3 linked regions of the Nothobranchius furzeri genome follow. The protein of the gene in region 3 purifies or fractionates together with the protein of the main gene of each other region. This does not show direct contact. Links are inferred from orthologs where the notes say so. Each region holds a gene or a part of one and is shown on either strand. Other genes may lie near its edges. The genes, in order: map2k7, map3k7 and C-Jun-amino-terminal kinase-interacting protein 1.

Region 1 (6,495 bases), on a different chromosome or scaffold from region 3:
TTAAAAAAAGTTACTAACTGTGCGGCCCCGTGAGAAGTTATCACCTAGCTAGCGGTCTCCTTTGTTTTTCAGGTCCGTATTGGTGATTATGAAACGGACAGAACATAAAACACAAACCATGTTGTAGTTTTCTCCTGCTTGTTGTTGTGTTTACTGACTAAGTCACTCGTGTGACTTCGTGCTCTGTCGGTGACAGCTGCTCCCCTGCTGCTTTGCGTCTCGTGGGAAGGGCCAAGCAGCAGCTTACGCGAGCAAGACGTGCTGCTGCAGTAACGTGCTGCTGACGGCTCCCGTGGAAACCCGGGGTAATCAGCTAATTAATCAAAACGCCTGCAAATGCCTTTAGATGGTTTCCCCCAGCGCTTTATAAGCCTGGCGGCCCGCCAGACTAAGCGTCATGCCCCACCCCCCTCCCATGTCCGCTGACACGAACGGCGCAACGAAACTAGAGCCCTCCATCAGCTGATGCTGGTGAGAAACAGCAGCGGAACGTGCGCAAATCCTCCACAATGAAACAGTCAGTGATGGTTTGGGGTGCCATGTCATCTGCTGGTGTTGGTCCACTGTGTTTTCTGAGGTCCACGCAGCCGACTAGCAAGAAGTTTTAGAGCACTTTATGCTTCCTGCTGAAGACCAGTGCTGCCACGATTAGTCGACGCGTCACAATGATGCTGACAAACAAAAAAGTCGACAATAAATTTCATAGTCGACACATTATTTATTATATGAGCTTAAAAATTTTGCCTGCTGCAGCACCTTCTGCTTTTCTGCTTGAGGCTCATGCGCAGTATTCGCCATCCAGATCAGCCTTTGAATCAGAACCACCGGAGAAAAAAAAGACACCATGATGCTCACGCAACAAAGCTCAAAAGTAGGGCTGCCACGATTAGTCGACTCGTCACGACATCGACAAACAAATTAGTTGACTATTAATTTAATAGTTGATGTGTCGTTTATTCTATAAATACTTTTTTAAATATCGCCTGCTGCAGCACGTTCGGCAGTTGCTTCCTGCCTCTCTGCTCAACGCACATGCATAATGGTCGCCATCCAGGTCAGATGCCGCCTTCAGCTTCGAGGCGCATGAACAAAGAATTGCATCGGTGAGTTCACCTCTGACATAACAGAATTATTAATCTGGTAAATAAACTAACTTTAATCTTTACGGTAAAGCAGACCCTCAGAGCTGACGATGGTCCCCTGACTGCTGACGCGGACCAGCCGTGCTACAGAGGCATACCTTGGTGTGTCCTGCCATTTCCTGAGTTAAGATTAGAAGACGAAGCGCTTCACCCTTGTCACCATGCCTTTTGTGAACACAAGTCATTTTTGAGTACAATTTATTTTTGGTTTTAGGTGCCTACCTCCATTTGACTATAGCATTTGTATTAATAGGTTACAAAGTTAATTAAAAGTTGTTTGATAAGTTATCATCTTGTCTTTATCATTAGATGCCACACAGCTGATCACACTTCAAACTAGAAGCTAACAATGGGTATATTAAGAGCATCCTGGTGCAAAAACCTAAACTTTAATGCATGACACGATCAGTCGACTATAAAAGAGTTGTTTGTGACAGCCCTATAGTTCAGTGAACTTCAAATCTTTCTTTCAGGAGGAAAGAAATTCACCAGAAATCTGACCATGGGGTAAGTAACGGCTATGCTGGGGCAGAGGAGATCCTGTGATGATGTCATCTATGTGACGTGCCAACATATTTTTTGTAATCATAATAATCACAAACTTTTACAAGCTGGTTGAAACACCTATAGTGTTCATTTAAATTGAAGTGCAACATGTGTGTGATCCAGGGCGTAAGGCAAAGCGGATTAGAAAATAGTTCTTTTACCTCTGTTCATTTGCATTCATTTTTTCATTCTTCAAGGGACCCATGAGCTAACCGGACAAGGAGGAGACTTATGGGCCATTCCCATCTGTACCGGGTCGGCCCAGGCAGCGTAGGTTGTTTACATATCTGGGTGGCCTGGTATTTTCCCGGGCAAACCAAGGCTCATTCTCAGCCCTCTTCTCGAGGGGTCTGATTCAGGCCGACCAGGGCCAACACACCCACTGCTGACAGCAAATTCACACCTTCCATTAGAGCAAGCCTCTGATTGGTGGGTAGAATCAGCCCACATGGGCTTAAGGCAAGGATGTGTGGAATCAACCGGGCCAGGCTGGGGCCGACTGGGACTACCCGGTACAGATGGGAATGGCCCATTAGGCTCCCTATTACATCCATTTTGATCTCTTTGCTATAAAAATGTTAGAAAGAAAAAACATTCTTTTAAAAACAGCATCTTGAGATAAAAATCGTGAGGCGCTTCACAAACAAACAAAACAATAAATAAAAAACCAAACAAAGTATAAAAAAGATTAAAAAAAAGATTTAAATATTCTCACTTTTAGAGCTCGATGAAGTCAAGTTGCATTTGATGTCTGACCTTTTAGTTCTCCACACCAAATATTCAGTTACAAGCTTATTTGCTCAACACCAGCTGGTAAACCAAGAGGAGATTTTTTTAAAGTCAGAGGTCTCAGGATGTGAAACATGTTACTGCCCTGTCTGAGACAGCTGCGGCTCGGCTGGTAGAGCGGTCAACTTCCAATCTGAGAGCTGGTAGTATAATTACAGTTTCTCCACAAGACAAAGTGTCCTTGGGCAAAATAATGAACTCTGTTGTGTCTTATGGAAATATTATGATTAAACAAAGGTCAATCTTTATCTCATTTAAATGATTATTCTGCATAATTGTGAGCAGTATCATGGCTCCAACAAATCTGAGTTATTTGGACCTGATGCATTTCTCATCTGTAAATTTTTGAAGCATCTGTGACAGTCAAATGACCTTCATCAGCACTTGTTAGCTGGATCAAACGACCACTGTTCTCTCAACAAAAGAAAACTATTAGAAAAGGTAGGTATAATGGCTCAAAACAATGCTATTCAGTAATAATGAAAGATTTTTAAGCTATCACTCAATAGCAAACTTACAGCAGTCAATATGGAGCTTTTTGTTATTTACTACAGCAATGAGGGTCTCGTTGTTACATGTCACGAAGCTGTAGCAAGCGTAGCATTTCTGTAGAGATTTTCCCTCTATGGCCCATAATTACAGCATCTCCTGTCAAGTCAAGTTCGTATGCCTTTCTGACACATTTACACTAACAAATCTTAACCAAACAGATGCAGTAAAGCTACGAGAAAGACCTAACATTTAATCATAACAGGTTAATTACAAGACAACCTCAAAAAGAGCAACATAACTATTAAAACGTTTGACCAAACTCACAAATTTCTAAAAAACAGACAACCTGTTCAGAATTTCTGTTTGATTGTTGCTTTAACATCCGCTCCAACCACAACCAGTGTTGGTTAAGGATAAAAGTAACCAGTTTAAATTACCCTTAAGCGCGAGACATTAAAAATAGCATAAGTGACCTGACTTATTATGCCCAAAAGTCACATCCAAACACACCACTCACATTTAGAACAAACATTCCTTTAAAATTACATTATTGAAACGACCGTAAATTTATATCAAAAATGAATAAAACAGTCATTTTTCTAACGGACGCCAGGCCTGCTACAAACTATCACAAAACGTACAGCTTGTTAGCTTAGCATGTTTGACAGGACTGAAATGAACATATTTCGAAATGACATAGTCACCGACAACTAGTATAACATTGCATCCGGGTTTGAACTCTGCTCAACATTTCTCCCCACATGAGCTGTTCCACTTATTAAGTTGGATTTTTGGTAGTATAACCGAGGTCAGCCGATGTTTGTTTACGTAGCTAGCCAGTTAGCATGCATCTGGTAGCCCACCCCTTCTCAGACCTTTCCTGCTATTCTAGCCGTTACCAACACACCGGTCCGCCCCGATGGACACTCACTTGGCCTTGGACGTGATCGCTGCGGGCTCATGTCGATGTTAAGGTCGATTCTCCGGCGAGCTTCTTCATTTTCCTGCTTTAGTCTCTCTTCGATTCGCGACAGCCTCTGTTCCAACGACGACATCTTGAAAAATTGAGCACCGTATAGTTTCCAGCAGAGCTCGCGACGCCTCTCAGTGGCAGGCAGGCGCAGGCGCAGACTCGCAACCACAGCCTCCTCCCACGCGCGTCATTTGGAACCGTAGTATGTCCAGGAAGGTCCCACCTTTCTCCCTTTCTCGCGTCTGATTGGCTGAAAGGGCTCTCTATTTCAGAGGAAACCTCGCTGCAGGTTTATTTATTTATTTATTTATTTATTTATTTATTTATTTATTTATTTTTACTTTATTGAAAGATATAGCATGTACAACACGAGTAAGGAAACGTACTAAATTTAACAAAGGTTTACATTAATAAGATGGTGAAGCAAAACCGATTGCTTTTAAACAAAAAACTAAATAAAAAACCAGGAGCCAAAAACAAACAAACAAAAAAAAAAAGCTTTGACAAACAACGGATCTTCTCGTTTTTTTTTAACTGTTTTGTCCGGGAGTCGAAGTGCGTAGGTTCGATTCCCGCTCAGTGCGAATATAAAAGTATTAATGTATGCGAAATCTGATAAAACTAATTATTATGTAAATAATTTTTCACTATTACCACTTTAAATTTAATTATAATTGTGATGAAGAACCACTGAGCTGTGAAATATATTTGTGATAATAGACACGTAAAATTATAGAATATATATGAAAAAATGCATCTGTGTTGAAATATATTTGTGATGTTATAAAACACATGTAATAAATGTATCTGTGTCCAGGATCATAAAAACATTCAAAGATTTAAAGTGTTTTCGTTTATATATATATATATATATATATATATATATATATATATATATATATATATATATATATATATATATATAATAAAAGAAAAAGTCTCAAAAAGTCTTTAAAAAGAAAAATCCAAAAAAGTGAAGACAGTTTTTCTGTCTTGCTCCCTCAGCTCCTCAACACATCCAATCTCCCTCTAATGTTATTCTTCATCTCCTCCCTCCACTCCTCTACAGACTTTCCGCCAACAGATGCCCAGTAGGACACGCCTGCAATGTGTGGCCAGTGTCCAGCCGCTTGGGCTGACCACATCTGCTGCAGGTGTACTGCAGGCGGGCTGTCTTTGATGGTGGAGCCTGCACGCTAGCAGCAGCTGCAGCAGTAACCTCCGCTACCTTCCTCTATGAATGAAATCGACCTAGGCATGGACATTCTCTTAATTATCTTTGGAGCTCATGACTTCAAATAAAAGTGTTTAAATTCTTGCAATGAGCTTTTATTGTGAAGTTCCTTTCTTTACATGTCCATGTGTACAGCAGGTTGTTGTTTAACACATTTAGATTGTTGGTATTCTTGTTGGATCATTTATTAACTGAAGAAAAGAGCTTGGTCCCTCAGCTCCTCAATGCATCCAATCTCCCGTCCTATTCAGGCGTAGAAAGCACATCTTTGGAGGAGTTTACAGGGAAGCAGAAGCTTGGGTGAGGAAATTAATAAACCACTGAAGACGAAGAAGGTTAGAACTAGTGTGACAGGACAAAAATCCCAACAACAAACCAGGTGTGGTTCACAGGTAAACAGCCAGCAAACGTGGAGTGAAAACCTCTTGTCACACGTGTGAGGAGAAACTCTGTTGCTGAGCAGCAGGCAGTGGAATGGATTTTATACAAGCCCCATTTAATACACGTTAGAGAACATCACAAATATGTTTGAGTTCAGCAGTGTCACCGGTTCATTATTGGGTTTCTTCATCGACTCCACAGAACTAAGGTTCTCTGTCTAAAGTCCAAAATGACTTCATTAATCCCAGAAGGAAGTTAAGTGTTGTCTTAACTAATTCTTCAAAGCAGTCATTAAAATAAATACTAGTAATAATAATAAGCTCAGTTGGAAATCTGAGTGGTTAAAGATGCTGAAGGCTGTGGGCAGGAAGGATCTCCTGTGTCACAGCAGCTCTGAAGAAGATGCTTGTTGCATGAAGCGGATGCTCAGTGTTGTCTAAAATGTTATTGATTTTATGAAAAATCCTTCTTTGCACCATCATCTCCAGTGGTTCTCAGTTGTCTCCAGAACAGAACCAGCCTTTTTTGACAGGTTGTTGAGCCTTTTTAGGCCCCTGCAGGCTCTGATGCTGCTGCCCCAGCCATGGACGTAATTTTCACTTTAGAAGGGGGGGGGGGGGGGGTATATCTTTACAGTGTGTTCTAATGGGAAACAGGCTTCAACACAAATGGTTGTTTTCCGCTTGGTCCTAGAGCTCAACCAGTGTCAATTTAATATAGCGTAATATTGTTTTTGGATGGTAAAAAGTGCAGGGGTCAAAACTTGACTTTGGAAAAAGTGGGGGGGACATGTCCCCCCTGTCCCCCCCAAAATTACGTCCATGGCCCCAGCAGCTGGTTGCCCAAGAGATCTCAACAGACCTGTAAAAGATCTGCAGCCTCTTGCTGCAGACCTTGAAGGATCTAAAATATCATTCAAGACACTCTGTCCCTTCTTG
Region 2 (6,553 bases), on a different chromosome or scaffold from region 3:
TCCAAAATGCTGCAGCTAGAGTTCTGATGAGGATTAAAAAGAGAGATCATATCTCTCCTGTCTTAGCTTCCCTACATTGGCTAGCTGTTAAATTCAGAATAGATTTTAAGACCCTTCTTCTCACATATAAAGCTCTTAATAATCAAGCTCCATCATACATGGATGGAGGATGGCTGCTTATACTGAGCCAGGATCCTCTGGAGGTTTCTTCCTGTTAAAAGGGAGTTTTCCTCTCCACTGTCGCTGCATGCTTGCTTAGTATGAGGATTGCTGTAAAGACTCTGACACTAGTCAGTGACTCGATGCGACCTGCTGGGTTCCTTATATAGGAAACTTGTTACTGATTGGCTTAATGACCTGACCTGTACTGGGATGTTTACTATGTGAAGGCCCTTGAAACGACTTGTCGTGATTTGGCGCTTTATAAATAAACTTGAATTGAATTGAATGTGATGACCTCCGACAGGCAGAGACACGAGAGAGACGGAGCAGCAGCATGCTAGCTGCAGCCATATTCCATCTGTAGCACCAGTATATCAGAGGAGAGTGAGACATCGGTAGAAGGACTGCTGGTGATGCAGAGAGATGTTAACCAGCTAGGGGCAGCCTTCATGTGTGTGACAGGCTGTGCTCATGGTCACCTAGAACACACAACCGCTCTCTGGTTCTGAATCTGGACTCACCATTGTACAAGGATCCTCCTTCTGCGTATTCCATCACAAGACAGACCTAAATGTGGAAGAGAACCAGGAATAAACCTCTGAAACTTTATGAAACTAACAAAAACATTTCACCCTTCTTACCGGGTTTTTACAGGAGCCGTACAACTTCACGATGTTTGGGTGGTTCACACGAGAAAGCTGTCTCAGCTGCAAAGAAAAAGCATGAAATGAGTGTGACACTTTCACTGCTGATACAACAGCAGGGCTCCTCCCAGCGGCACCGAGCCAACAGGAACATTCTGACTCTGATGAAAGTCATGATGTGAATGAGTGAGAGACCGATGAAACACCCTCCATGGGCGAGCTCACGGACCTGAATGTCTGCCTACCAAAAACAACAACACCTTAGAGCTAGTGATGCATGGTGTACCCGGTCGATATGATACAATAACCGCGGGCAGAGCTGCTGACTCTACCGTCCGACAGTGACGGCGCGTAAATATCATCATGCTGTGTCAGCTTGCCACAGCGCACGGAGGAAGGCGTGCTCGTTGGGAAGATGGAGTTATGTTGGTTATACGGACCTGGTTTGGGTTCTCTTTTACAAACAAAAAAGAACTGCTGCAAAGCATCGTTTTAGCTGCAGTTATTAACGACTAACACTAAACTTCTATGAGCAAAAGAAAACCTGAAAATTATTAAATTAATCAGAAAGAAATTTTATTTGTGTTTTTACATTTTTCATTAAAATATCTTCATCTTTATTCACGTCATGAGAATATTTGTGATGAAAAGTTTGAAAAAAGAACCTTAAGAACATAAAAGTCATTTGAGACGTTTTGTCACGTTAAACGGTTTTTAAGTGGCATTCTGTCCTTTTCATCAGCACTTGTTCTGGTGCCGCTCATCTGGTGTGAGAGATTGTTCAGAAAGGTTATTTGGACAAATAAACTAATGAAAAGAATACGTCGTGTTACCGCACGTGCTTTAAATTATATCACGATTTATAGATGTTGGGCCCATCCTACCTACAGGTGTCACTTGGCTAATGTTAAGGTCAGAGGTCATGAGTCAAGTGAGGAAGAACACAAAGGACCTGCTGGAACCATGCTCTGGCAGAGCATCCTGAAAGAGAACGTCTGACCTTTGACCTTAAACAGGCCGTTCCTGCTGGAAACCCCTCTGATGTACCACTCAGCGTGTTTACACGCACATCTGAATGGATCTAAAATAAACTGGGAGCCTTTCTCCTAGTTTACCTGTACGTTAGAAAACCAACCCCCGTAAAGACGTTAGTACCGTTCCGGTACAGTTGGAGGCGACATGCGCCCTATTGTGTAGGCGTTCTTCCGGTTAACTTATAGCAACACAAATAGCAAACAAACGCTGGTGGGAGTGAAGCAGACAGAGTTAAAACAGGATATGAACAATGGCCGAATGGACAACAACGCTGCGGCACAGCTGATCTGTGATGCTGTTACACGTGCGACTTTGTGGCGATGATATCAGAAGACCTCTTCTGCGTCTCGTCAAGTCTGAAAGTTACCGTCATCAGCTCGATGGAGGCGCTTACACACAGATGAAGTTGGGCTCCCACTACATTATCTGGGTGCTTCAGGACGACTAGAACCAGTTCACGTTCAACGAGACTTACAAGTTTACATGAGTTTAAAAATCAACAACGTCAGTCTACTTAGGGCAAAAGTTCAGTTTTCTGACGCGCATGTGAACACACTGAGAGTTTGGTGTTTCACAATCCCACCTCTGGCGTCTTCAGTTGGTGCAGGATGCTGCTGCACGGCTTATCGATGGGACGAAAATGACGGTGCACGTTACTCCTGTCCTGGCCTCACTGCACTGGCTACCTGCTTGTTTTTGAATCCAGTACAAGGTGCTTTTATGGGCTTTTAAATCTTTACGGCCTTGCTCCAGATGACCTCTCTGAGCTACTGGTTTTTAACTCCCCTGCACGGTCTGAGGTCGGCTGATAGGAAGCTCCTGGAAGTCCCGACAACGAGACGCCAGTTTAGAGGTGACAGAAATCTCTAGAAAACCCACTTTTAACTTAGCATGAGTCTTTTACTTTTAGTCCTCAAGTTTTAGTTTTTATGCATTTTTATTGTTTTTACTGTTATTGTTTAAGGTTGTACACAAATAAAGTTGGCTTGGCATGAGACTCAATAGGAGTTATCACAGACACCGGACCCAGGTGGAGCCTCTTAGTGTCAGGACTTCAGTTCCTGATCTCTCTGCACTCACCTCATCGAAGCTCACCTGAGACATCTTGATATTTCCATCTGTATTACGGTGATAAAAGCTCCCTGCAGCTATTGGTGAGTGCCAGATCAGCCCACTAACTCGCTACGAACCAGGCCAGAATCAGCAGGTCTCAGTCAAGGGAGTCCAACATGAATTCTAATCTAGTCGTGGTCTAGTCGTCAAGCTAAGCTATATCTGTTGTGTCAAACCAAGTTAATCTTAAAACCATTCCTGATTTATTTAATTTGCTTTACATACATTTGTATTTTGACCTTTCTGAGTATTGGCTGAATCCTTGGATCCAAATCATCTGATGTGACACCGGGGGTGTTTGCTACTTGTGAGGTTTGTTTTATCACGCCGGACCGGGGTGGTCGGGATAGCTCTGTTCCTCTAATAATGAAACCATCAGAAAAAAACATTTTATTGACTCAGGTTATCCTTATCAGACTTTGAAATTAGCTTTTTGATCTGAAAGTTTTATATGACTCAATCTCAGATATTTTAGTGCACAGTAAAGAACGAAATGGGCAGATTACACTGATTACACTTCAGTATGGTGTAAGAGAAGAGGGGACACTTCCCTTTAACTCATTCACTGCCAGCCGTTTCCTGATCGTTAACGGCCTTCGCTGCCAGCGTTTCTCACCGTTTTTACTGTTTTTTAAGAGTGACAGAACGTTGCGCGCTAGGATGATGTCGATGCCAAAACAACCAAAACAAAGATGAGACTCATCTCTTACATCAGGAAGAATCTGCACGTTTCGAGCGTTATCCGTTCTTTCATAACTCGTTGTCGAACTGTGATGGGCAGACGCTTTTCCGGTTCGCGCCTCACTTTTTTTTTTTACAGGAATGGCCCAAAGCAATCTCCTAACACATGGATTTTCTCCGTCCTGATCATGTGACGTGTGACGTATGCGAATGAAGATCGGCTTCAGAGCTGAGATGTTTGTTCTTTCGGCGCAGGGGCTCGTTCCGATGCCTACACAGTAAAAAAAATGCAAATGACGACTTTAGTCGTCAATGGCAGTGAAAGAGTTAAGAGGAAAAGCCTGCAGAAGAACAAGAACCAGGTGACCTAACAGAAGTGGTTAGAGATGTTTATGGATGTTTTTAGAGTCTTCACATCCAAATCAACCCATCCATGAAGGCCTCGCCTCACAACATCCTCCAGAAACAAACGTCTAGTGATGTCACTGTTCAGGCCTCTAACGTCTGCAGTGCTCTAGTAGAAAAGCAGGATTTACTCAGACCATACAGGTGGTCATTATCTTATGGCTGAGAGCTGTATGATGTGTCAGACATTTGCCACTAACACCAAACCAGCAGTCACATCTTGGTGCATCAGTGGACCTGGTCGACTCTGCACCAATAATAACAACAATAATAACAATAACAACAACAATAATAATAGAGTAACAGTACCTCAACAATAAAGGCTTTCCTCTCCGACTCACTCTCGATGGTCTTGATTGCAACATCTTTGCCTTTCCACTTGGCTTTGCAGACCACCCCGAACGCACCTCTGCCCACCACCTTCACAGGGACAGATACAGGCGATCACGTTTAGGACAACTCCGTTAACACCCTCATCCATGGCCACACGGACCAAACATAACTCACCTCCTCCACTTCAATATCCTCATAATTGATCTCTTCAAATGGATATCCAGGTGGCGTTTCCAGCATATCGGAAGGTGGTAGCGTCTGAGACATTACTAGCTAAAACAAGCTAGTAACTAATCAGAGAAAAGAAGACAGTGGACAACGGAAACGTGTCAATACCAATCAGAAAAACAAAAACAAAAAATGAACGCACTGATGTACCGGAACTGCGTTTCGCTCCACATTCCTTTTGCGAGCTGTCAAACATGGTAAACAGCACGCTAGCTTCCATCAGCTGGCTAGCCAGCAGAGCTAAAACTAGCACAGCTGCAACAAAACCACCAACCAAAGGCTACAACGTGCTTTAAGTTGCACAGAAGGCTGGATAACAAGTCCTGGAGCATCAGTACGGTGTTAATAAGAGAAATGCACAAACAACATGACACTTAAACAAAACAATTTAGTTATCAAGGCCTACGGTGTGAATTAGCTTGCTTACATTAGCTTCCGAGCCTGGTTGCTAAACGTAGCTGCCGGGGCTTAAATCCAGCCCTTTCTCGTAGATGTTACCGAGGCCGGCTCCGTAGACATGGGGATAGCTCCTACTATTTCTGCACGGGAAGCCGAAGAATAACGTCCATCTTTAGAAAACGTCTGTCCATAACTTTCCCTCGGCTCGTCTAGCTGGCTTCCTCCGACTGTTTTTCTTCGCGGAAGCACAGCAGCTCCACCAGGAGGATGCGCTCATTACAGCACAGGAAAATCACAACAGCATGAAGCGACAACGGGCAGGGAACCCTGTTGTTTTTCAACGGATTTTTCATTATTTATTGTTATTCATTATTCTTTTCCGCTAATTCTATATGGCTGCAGGAGCCTGAAAATGCCAGAAAAAATGTAACATGGCAGTCTGATAGAAAAACCTGACTGCTACTATGATTCCAAAATTCATACCCACAAAACTCTAGGTGGCGCTATTGCGAAGGTCAATGCGTTTCAGCTACCGGCTCCCTAACCAAAGGCCCTACAGTCAAAACGTGCATGATCCTTGGATGATTTTTTAAAATCTGTTTATTAATCAACAAAACATGGCACATTACAATATTCCCTTCTTAACTGGAAATACAAGCAGACAAGAGAAATAAACTGAGGAAAAGTAAATAAATAATAAACAAACATAATATAAATAAAATACAAATTAAATGAAATAGACAAAATGACAGTAAAACAACTATTAAAGTGCAAAACATCATTCAATAAATGTGCTAGGGGTTAGCATTTAGTTTGTATTTCTTAGGCTTTGGAGCCTTTCATGGATTTCAAAAAAGAGAAGTAATGTACTAATTCTTTATAAAATGCAATGAAATTAGGGTAGGTTTTAGCATAACGGCATTTGTGTATATAACATCCATGGATAATTATAACATTTAAAGCAATATAAATATTGTCCTTGGTTGTAAAACAACCGATTAACACGTTTTTTTAGAAAGTTTTGGTGGATTACATAGCCTCAAAGCCAACCAATTCTCTAATTCACTCCAAAAAGTCTTTACAAATTCAGTCAAAAAGCAGATGCTCAGTGGTTTCTGTCTGCATTACAAAATGAGCAGCCATTATGTTCCAAGTTAAATCGATGTCTCAAAAGCTCTCCAGATGGATAAATGCTATTAATAATTTTAAACAGCATCTCTTTTATCTTTGGAGCAACTGGAAGCTTGAAAAAAAACTCCTTGCTTTTTTTTCTATTTCATAAGATTGTAGGTGAGAAGCTAATGATCTGTTGGCTAAGAATGGATGCAGTTGACTAAATAACTGTCTTACTACAATATTGGATAACTTTTTGTCAGTAATAGAACATCCATTAAGCATAAGTCCAGGGAGCTTTGGACTAATGTTATTGTGATGTAAATTGGAGGAGATTGACAAGACAGGACTTGGAATTGCTTTTATAACCTGATATTGTTCCTTAACAGTCAGCTTGAATTTGGAGCTAAGTAGTTCATGAGACAACAGTGTAACAAGTG
Region 3 (6,453 bases):
TGGTTTACCTGATTTAGTAAATAAATCTCAATTTATAAATTTCATGTTTTGGTGCCTGTCCATAAAATCCTGCATTAGACACTGAAAGCTGAATGGATGCCTTTCATTCACATTGACATTCAATGTATTTTTAAAGATACACTTGAAATTAACATCAGCTGTTTAACAGAGTGGGACAAAATAATTGCTAATGTCATGACTTTTGCAATAAACTGACCTTCATGCAGAGAAACTCAGGAGACAAATGAGCTAAAAACAGTTTATTTAAATGTTTGACGGATGACTGAAGAGGTAACTGCTGGAGATCAGGAACCAGAAGCTTCTGCAAGGAAGAGCAGAGGTTAGTAAGAGTCAACAGGTCAGGTTTTTTTTAGACTGTGCAGGTAGCTTACAGAGACTGAGAAACGCCACAGAGATGGAGCAACAGGTTTTAGTGTTTAAAGATCAGAAGGCCCTGAGGTAAAATTGAGTGTTAGTAATGACTAAAGAATGACTTACAAAAGGAAACGTTTAGGTACTTACGGTCTGAAGTTGTAGCGCAGACGGGAGACAGCAGAATGGTGGAGAAACAACCAGAAGTCTGGGAGAATGACAGCATGAGTTGCAAGCAGGTGAGCAGAAGGTAGTGGGTAAGCCGACTGCCAGTATGGTTGTGTGATCAGGAGCTTCAAGGAAATAATTTCCATAGATCTGCATAGAAAATGAGAATGTAAGTTTGAAAAACGGCAGAGTCATGGGCTAGATATGGGTTAAAACACTCTGATGAGTGACCAGCTACCAGCTTTTATTCAAGGATGGGGTTACAGGTGTGTGAGGATGTGCCTGCCCCATGAGAAGAGTTTTCAGGTAAGCCTCTCCATGGTGCTCTGCAATGGTGACTAGCAAGGCTAATGAAGAGATTAAAGGGAACACAAACCCAGGACTCCGACCCAAACTCCTGACAGGTGGTTGTTCCACGGGAGTACAGTCACACGCAGCTGCCTGAAGTTCAGCATCAGGCAACCTGTAGGCGATGTAATCATATGTGGCTTCTGAGCATGCAAGTTTACTCTAGCTGTACAGCGTACAATAATAATAAAGATTTATATTCTGTTGTGTTGCTCACCTTACAGGTTCTTTTAAAATCTTAACCTGTGCCTGCTTACAGCAGGTCTTTCAGGTCTTTTGAACTAGACACAGAGAGGTTCAGGCACAGGTACTTAGACTCCTGATATGGTAGAGCATCCACCACCACAGACTCGAACAATAGGTCCATATGCTTGTCAACTGGAAACAATGGAAAAAGATTACCATTAGTACAGATATTTATCCATAACTTTCACTGTGGGTTTATTTTACAGCCTATGAAATACATGAGGTGGGATTGGTCTGCAGTAGGGATGTGTATTTTTGACTGAATTTATTGTAGGAATATTCAATAAACAGTCCAAACTGATACTTAACATGTTTAACATGAGTTATCTGAACCATAATAGCGGGATTTAAATTTCAATGGTGGAAACAAAACCCAATGCATACTGCTGCCAACTAGCAGTCGACATTTAAAGTGCACCAAAAACAAAGAAAATACACTAATGTTTGTATGTAAATTCTTCCAAAAATGAGATACACTGCTTTTGAAAATGGATGTAATATCTCAGGAAAAAATATCACGATATATTGCATATCGATATTTTAGAGACACAGTTTGAGAATATCGATACAATATCACTGAGAAAATATATTGTGATATATTGTCATATTGATATTTTCTTACATCCCTTGTCTGCAGTGTACTTTGTGTACACTATGTGTGTCTTAGCCCACCAGCTGCAGTTGACACATGTGGCCATGTAGCACTTCCATTGTAATGCAATGCAGTAGTTTTATATCTAAAAAGAAAGAAAAAAACCCAAACAACAAAAGAAATAGCTTTTAGACAAAAATATAGATTTTATGTAAAAATTTAATATTTAAAAGCATGTATTTAACTCATTCTTTTGATGGAGAATACAGAACACTTGACAGAAAGCACATTGAATCTGATTTGTCCTGTTCTGACAAACAAATGTCAGATCTGTATAGTGGTAAGAACATTATTATCAAACATACTCAATTAGATAATTATTCAGTCAGAGTTACATCATATAATCCATTTGTTTCACTGAAAAAGGAGCAGGCAGAACTGTGAACTTGTATAGCCCGTCCAAGTAACATGGAATAAAAATGAAAATGTTAAGATGAGTTTTTAATACGTCTCTCTGGAACAATAGACCATTGTCCTGAGGCTAGCACAATGGCTTGCTTAGCAGCTAGCTAGTGAGCTAACGTCTGGTTAAAACCAACTTAAAAAGTGGCTTAACTTAAAGATTAACTAAGAAAAGATAAAATATATTATCAATACTCACTTTAGATCCTTAGTAGACACCACAGACAGCAGAAATAATGTGTTTGGGGCTCAAAATTCATGTTGTTGACCGAGGTGGGAAAAAAATGTCTTGGAGGTTACATCACTTCTGGGTCACTGAACTTTCACTCAAGAGAAACCACTGTCCTATGGGAGAGGACTTCTCAGAAGTCCCACCCACCCGACAGGGTTGTGTCAGAATTGCAACCAAAAACTCAGGGATTGCAAAGGAGAAAGCCAGAAAGTGTAAGTGCAAATCTGGTAGTGAGAGCAAAGCTCTGAGCAGCGAGAACGAAACTAAGGAAACTGATAACAAAAACACATAGAGGCAAACAGAAAAAGGAAACATACTTTGTTACTCATTTTAAGAAGTTGATTCAGATAGTAAGTTTTACTTTTGAAACATTTTTTTTCCTTTAGTCAATATTTTTGTTCTGTCAATTTCTTAAATTTTGTTTGACCATCAAAGTGTTTTTCTTGATCATTTTAAGAAGCTGATTCAGATTGTAAGTTTTTCTTTTGAAACAATTTTTTTCTCTCCATGTCTTAATATTTGTTTGATCTTCAAAGTCTTTTTCTTGATCCTATTGGCACAAATCTAATCCGATAGTTTTTTCTGCACCGCTGCAGTGGGACTTGTTCAAAATGACATCAATGACTCCACCTGGCCATGCATAAAACATGTCACAAAAGTGTTTTACAAACCAATTCAATTCAAATTTGTGTTTTCAGCTAGTCATCAACCATCTCATCCAGGTGAGATGCGAGCTGTCGGTTCTTACTCTATCACAGGTGTAGTAGTCCTCTTGAACTGCCAGTTTGATGCCTTTAACACTAATTTCTAGGATGCAGGAGGAAGGCGGGTTATACTTGACTGTCATCTTTCTGTTGATAGCGATCTGGAAGAAATAAGAAAAATATGATGACTAAAACATGAAGTTAGAAAGATATGGACATCCAAATGTGCAAAACACAGGGTGTCTACCTTCTGCATAGCTGCACATAAAACGTCGTTTCCTTTGTGGTAGGGCACTTGGACTGATCCCAGAAACTTCAGGCGATATGTGTCCATCCATTCACTACTCTTCACTGCAAGGACAAGTGAAGAAAATGGTTTTGTTTACAATACTAAGAAATGGATATACATATTAAAAATAAAATAAATTAGGACTAGACTTTGACAAAGCAACTAAACATAGCATTAACCAATTAAGGGGCAGATCTTGCACAGAACCAAATTGACAAGCAAACAAACAAGAACTAGTGAACAAAAAATATTCTAAAAAAATGCGACAGGTCAGGATAGCAGCTGGACAGTGTTTTTGCCTGCCAGCATTGTACAATAAAAAACAAAAACATTCAAGGTGCTAATTTCTCTTAGTTCATTAGCGTAACTTTCTCTGTCAGCTGGCTCCGAGTTTTTGTCTGACTTCACTGTGAACTGCGACTGTTAGAGGTAATCTAGGGATTAATGGAGACCAGTAATTTCCTTTGTTGATGCCCGAAGGGAAAAGCTGACAGAGAAATTAGCTTGTTTGAAGGCAGCAACTCATGGAGCTGCCCTTTTCAGCATATTGAATGCTCGGTATGCACACATACAAGTGTCTGTAGCTCTGCCTTTGCTGTCCGGTTTAAATACAACCAAGCTGCAGATGTTTTAGCTCTCCTGAGGAGACACGTTAGCTCTACGTTAGCAGGCTATCTAACAGCGGCACTTGGTGTCTGAGTCCTTGCCTGCCGTAAGTTGTTTGACATTACTGTGTTGTTCGTATAAGAAACTAATATTATTGATGTAGAGGGACGTATTGAAATTTGAACTAAGCCATTTTCATTCAATTTGAAAACCTCTATCTCAGGATGCATTTAAAAAGTCATGTTTTGTTGTTTTTAAAAGATTAAATCCGTTTTTTTTCTCCCGATTTCTGATCACATGATCGGATTGGAGCATCTCCAGTCTATATGAACATCCACCGCAACAACAAATAAAAATAAAAATAAATCAGGAAAGCCTCCTGTGTGTGATTACTACTTGCATGGTATGTGCAAACAATAAGCAAGAGGCAGGGATGATTGTACTTCAGCCACTGAATTTTGTAGAATCTTTATCACAAATTCCAGAAAATCATGTGTGAACAGAGACGGTATTAGCATCCTGACATGGTATTAGGTTAGACTAGAGGCAAGTCTGAGGTGTGAATATGAGAAGTTTTAAAAAAAGTTGCATTTTGACTGTCTATGAAAATGAAAATGCCCTTTCAGGAACTTTCATTCTGGAGTTTGTTTTTGATCAAACAAACTTTTAGGGCTCTTACATGTCTTTTTTTTTCTTTTCAAAAGCTGAAACTGTAAGAAACACTTGCAATCAGGAAAGCACTTCATATGATTTCAACTCAAATTCAAACCAAAACAAACACACTTGTAGTCAGAAAGTGGATCTTTTTCAGCAAATTTGTGGACAGTTTTAACAGTGTCTTGAACTTGTACATTTATCAGTACCTTCACAGCTCTCAGTGTCCTTGGTGACCTCTATGGCGTAGTAGGCAGGGAAGATCCCACGAGCATAAGTCCGCATGTTGTAGCCCTCATACCAGTAGTCCTCCCCTTGGACCTCCACAAACAAAGGGTCGTCCACCTCCAACTCCAGTTCATCATCATGTCGAGGCACAAATCTGGTGAGAGGAGTTAAAATTTTCAAAGTAATTATCTAATTAGAGTTAAAGTGGTGGGTCTTTTCGCTATGAACCCTCATGAAGAAACTTCATGAGAATCTGGTCTTGGGGCTAGGCAATATGGAAAATAATTTGGTCGAAATCGATATATATATATATATATCCTGACATAAAACTAATCACTATTTCTGTCAATCTTTAATGTTCTCTGCTATTTAAAATTGAGATTTGATGATATCAGATGGTTATTTTTTATTATAAAACATTTTTTGAAGGTGAACATGTCATTAACTCATTCACTGCCATTGACGACTAAAGTCATCATTTTAGATCCAACCGTTCACTGCAAATGACGACTAAAGACATCATTTGCATTTTTTTTTTTTTTACTGTGTGGGCATCGGAACGAGCCCCTGCACAGTGAGAACAAACATCTCAGCTCTGAAGCCTATCTTCATCCACATACGTCACACGTCACATGATTAGGAAGCAGAAATTCCATGTGTTAGGAGATCGTTTTGGGCCGTTCCTTTGAAAAAAGTGAGGTGCGAACCGGAAAAGCTTCTGCCGATCACAATTCGACAACGGATTATGAAAGAACAGATAACACTCGAAACACGCCGATTATTCCTGATGTAAGAGGTGAGGCTCCGCTTTGTTTTGGTTGTTTTGGCGTCAACATCATCCTAGCGCGCAACGTTCAGTGACTCTTAAAAAAACAGTGAAAACGGTGAGAAACGCTGGCAGTGAAGGCCTTTAGCGATCAGGAAACGGCTGGCAGTGAATGAGTTAACTGTTTTGGATTTAAAAAAAGGTTAATTTTGAACAAAAACTTTAAGAATTAGAGGAAAACAGAGCTCAGTAAAAGAGCCATCTAAACATAAAATCTCAAAATGTATCTGCTTGCTTTAATAATAGTTTCTTTAAGAAAAAACAAACAAAAAAGAAATGATTAAAAACAGTTTTTTATATCGTTGAAATTTTAAGCAGCTCTAAAAGAGAAAAAAAGCAAAACAGTAAAATAGAGAATGTCTATAAATTTAAATTTTGTATATCATCTGTAGTTGCTGTAGCAATCTGTTGTGTAAGGATTGATTAGTTTAGTCTGCTGAGATCTCTGCATTTAGTCTTGACTTTAACTCCTGATTCTTGAGCAGTGACCACCACAGACATACAGGTTATTTTTCATTCAAGGTCAAATTAAGACGCTAGGGGGTGCGCGAGGTGAAAAGTGTAATGGCTGCGGAGCTCAGAGAAGTCTGTCATATGTCACCATTAGCGTAGAAACTCATTTGTGGGTGGGCCAAAGAAAAAGTAAGTGGGCCCAATAAATGTAATTGAAAACAAGTATATTTTTGCGCGTGCACGCGTGTGTCCTCCACATGTGCCCTAGCTTCA

Evidence for each region.
Region 1: the proteins of C-Jun-amino-terminal kinase-interacting protein 1 (region 3) and map2k7 purify together in Homo sapiens (affinity purification with western blotting; 3 studies listed by BioGRID and IntAct, with this or other methods). This does not show direct contact. The link is inferred for Nothobranchius furzeri from reciprocal best matches to the Homo sapiens genes MAPK8IP1 and MAP2K7.
Region 2: the proteins of C-Jun-amino-terminal kinase-interacting protein 1 (region 3) and map3k7 purify together in Homo sapiens (pull-down; 3 studies listed by BioGRID and IntAct, with this or other methods). This does not show direct contact. The link is inferred for Nothobranchius furzeri from reciprocal best matches to the Homo sapiens genes MAPK8IP1 and MAP3K7.

What each region holds. Positions count from the first base shown.
Region 1 is NC_091747.1:73,508,493-73,514,987, reverse strand, and holds the start of map2k7 (dual specificity mitogen-activated protein kinase kinase 7), read right to left. Parts: upstream 4,097-6,495; 5' UTR 4,025-4,096; coding exon 3,901-4,024; intron 1-3,900. UniProt on the Homo sapiens protein: Dual specificity protein kinase which acts as an essential component of the MAP kinase signal transduction pathway. Essential component of the stress-activated protein kinase/c-Jun N-terminal kinase (SAP/JNK) signaling pathway.
Region 2 is NC_091743.1:91,283,191-91,289,743, reverse strand, and holds the start of map3k7 (mitogen-activated protein kinase kinase kinase 7), read right to left. Parts: upstream 5,242-6,553; 5' UTR 5,029-5,241; intron 4,664-5,028; 5' UTR 4,641-4,663; coding exon 4,548-4,640; intron 4,461-4,547; coding exon 4,350-4,460; intron 870-4,349; coding exon 804-869; intron 730-803; coding exon 684-729; intron 1-683. UniProt on the Homo sapiens protein: Serine/threonine kinase which acts as an essential component of the MAP kinase signal transduction pathway. Plays an important role in the cascades of cellular responses evoked by changes in the environment.
Region 3 is NC_091749.1:49,781,633-49,788,085, reverse strand, and holds part of C-Jun-amino-terminal kinase-interacting protein 1, read right to left. Parts: intron 5,056-6,453; coding exon 4,883-5,055; intron 3,476-4,882; coding exon 3,372-3,475; intron 3,286-3,371; coding exon 3,169-3,285; intron 1-3,168. UniProt on the Homo sapiens protein: The JNK-interacting protein (JIP) group of scaffold proteins selectively mediates JNK signaling by aggregating specific components of the MAPK cascade to form a functional JNK signaling module. Required for JNK activation in response to excitotoxic stress.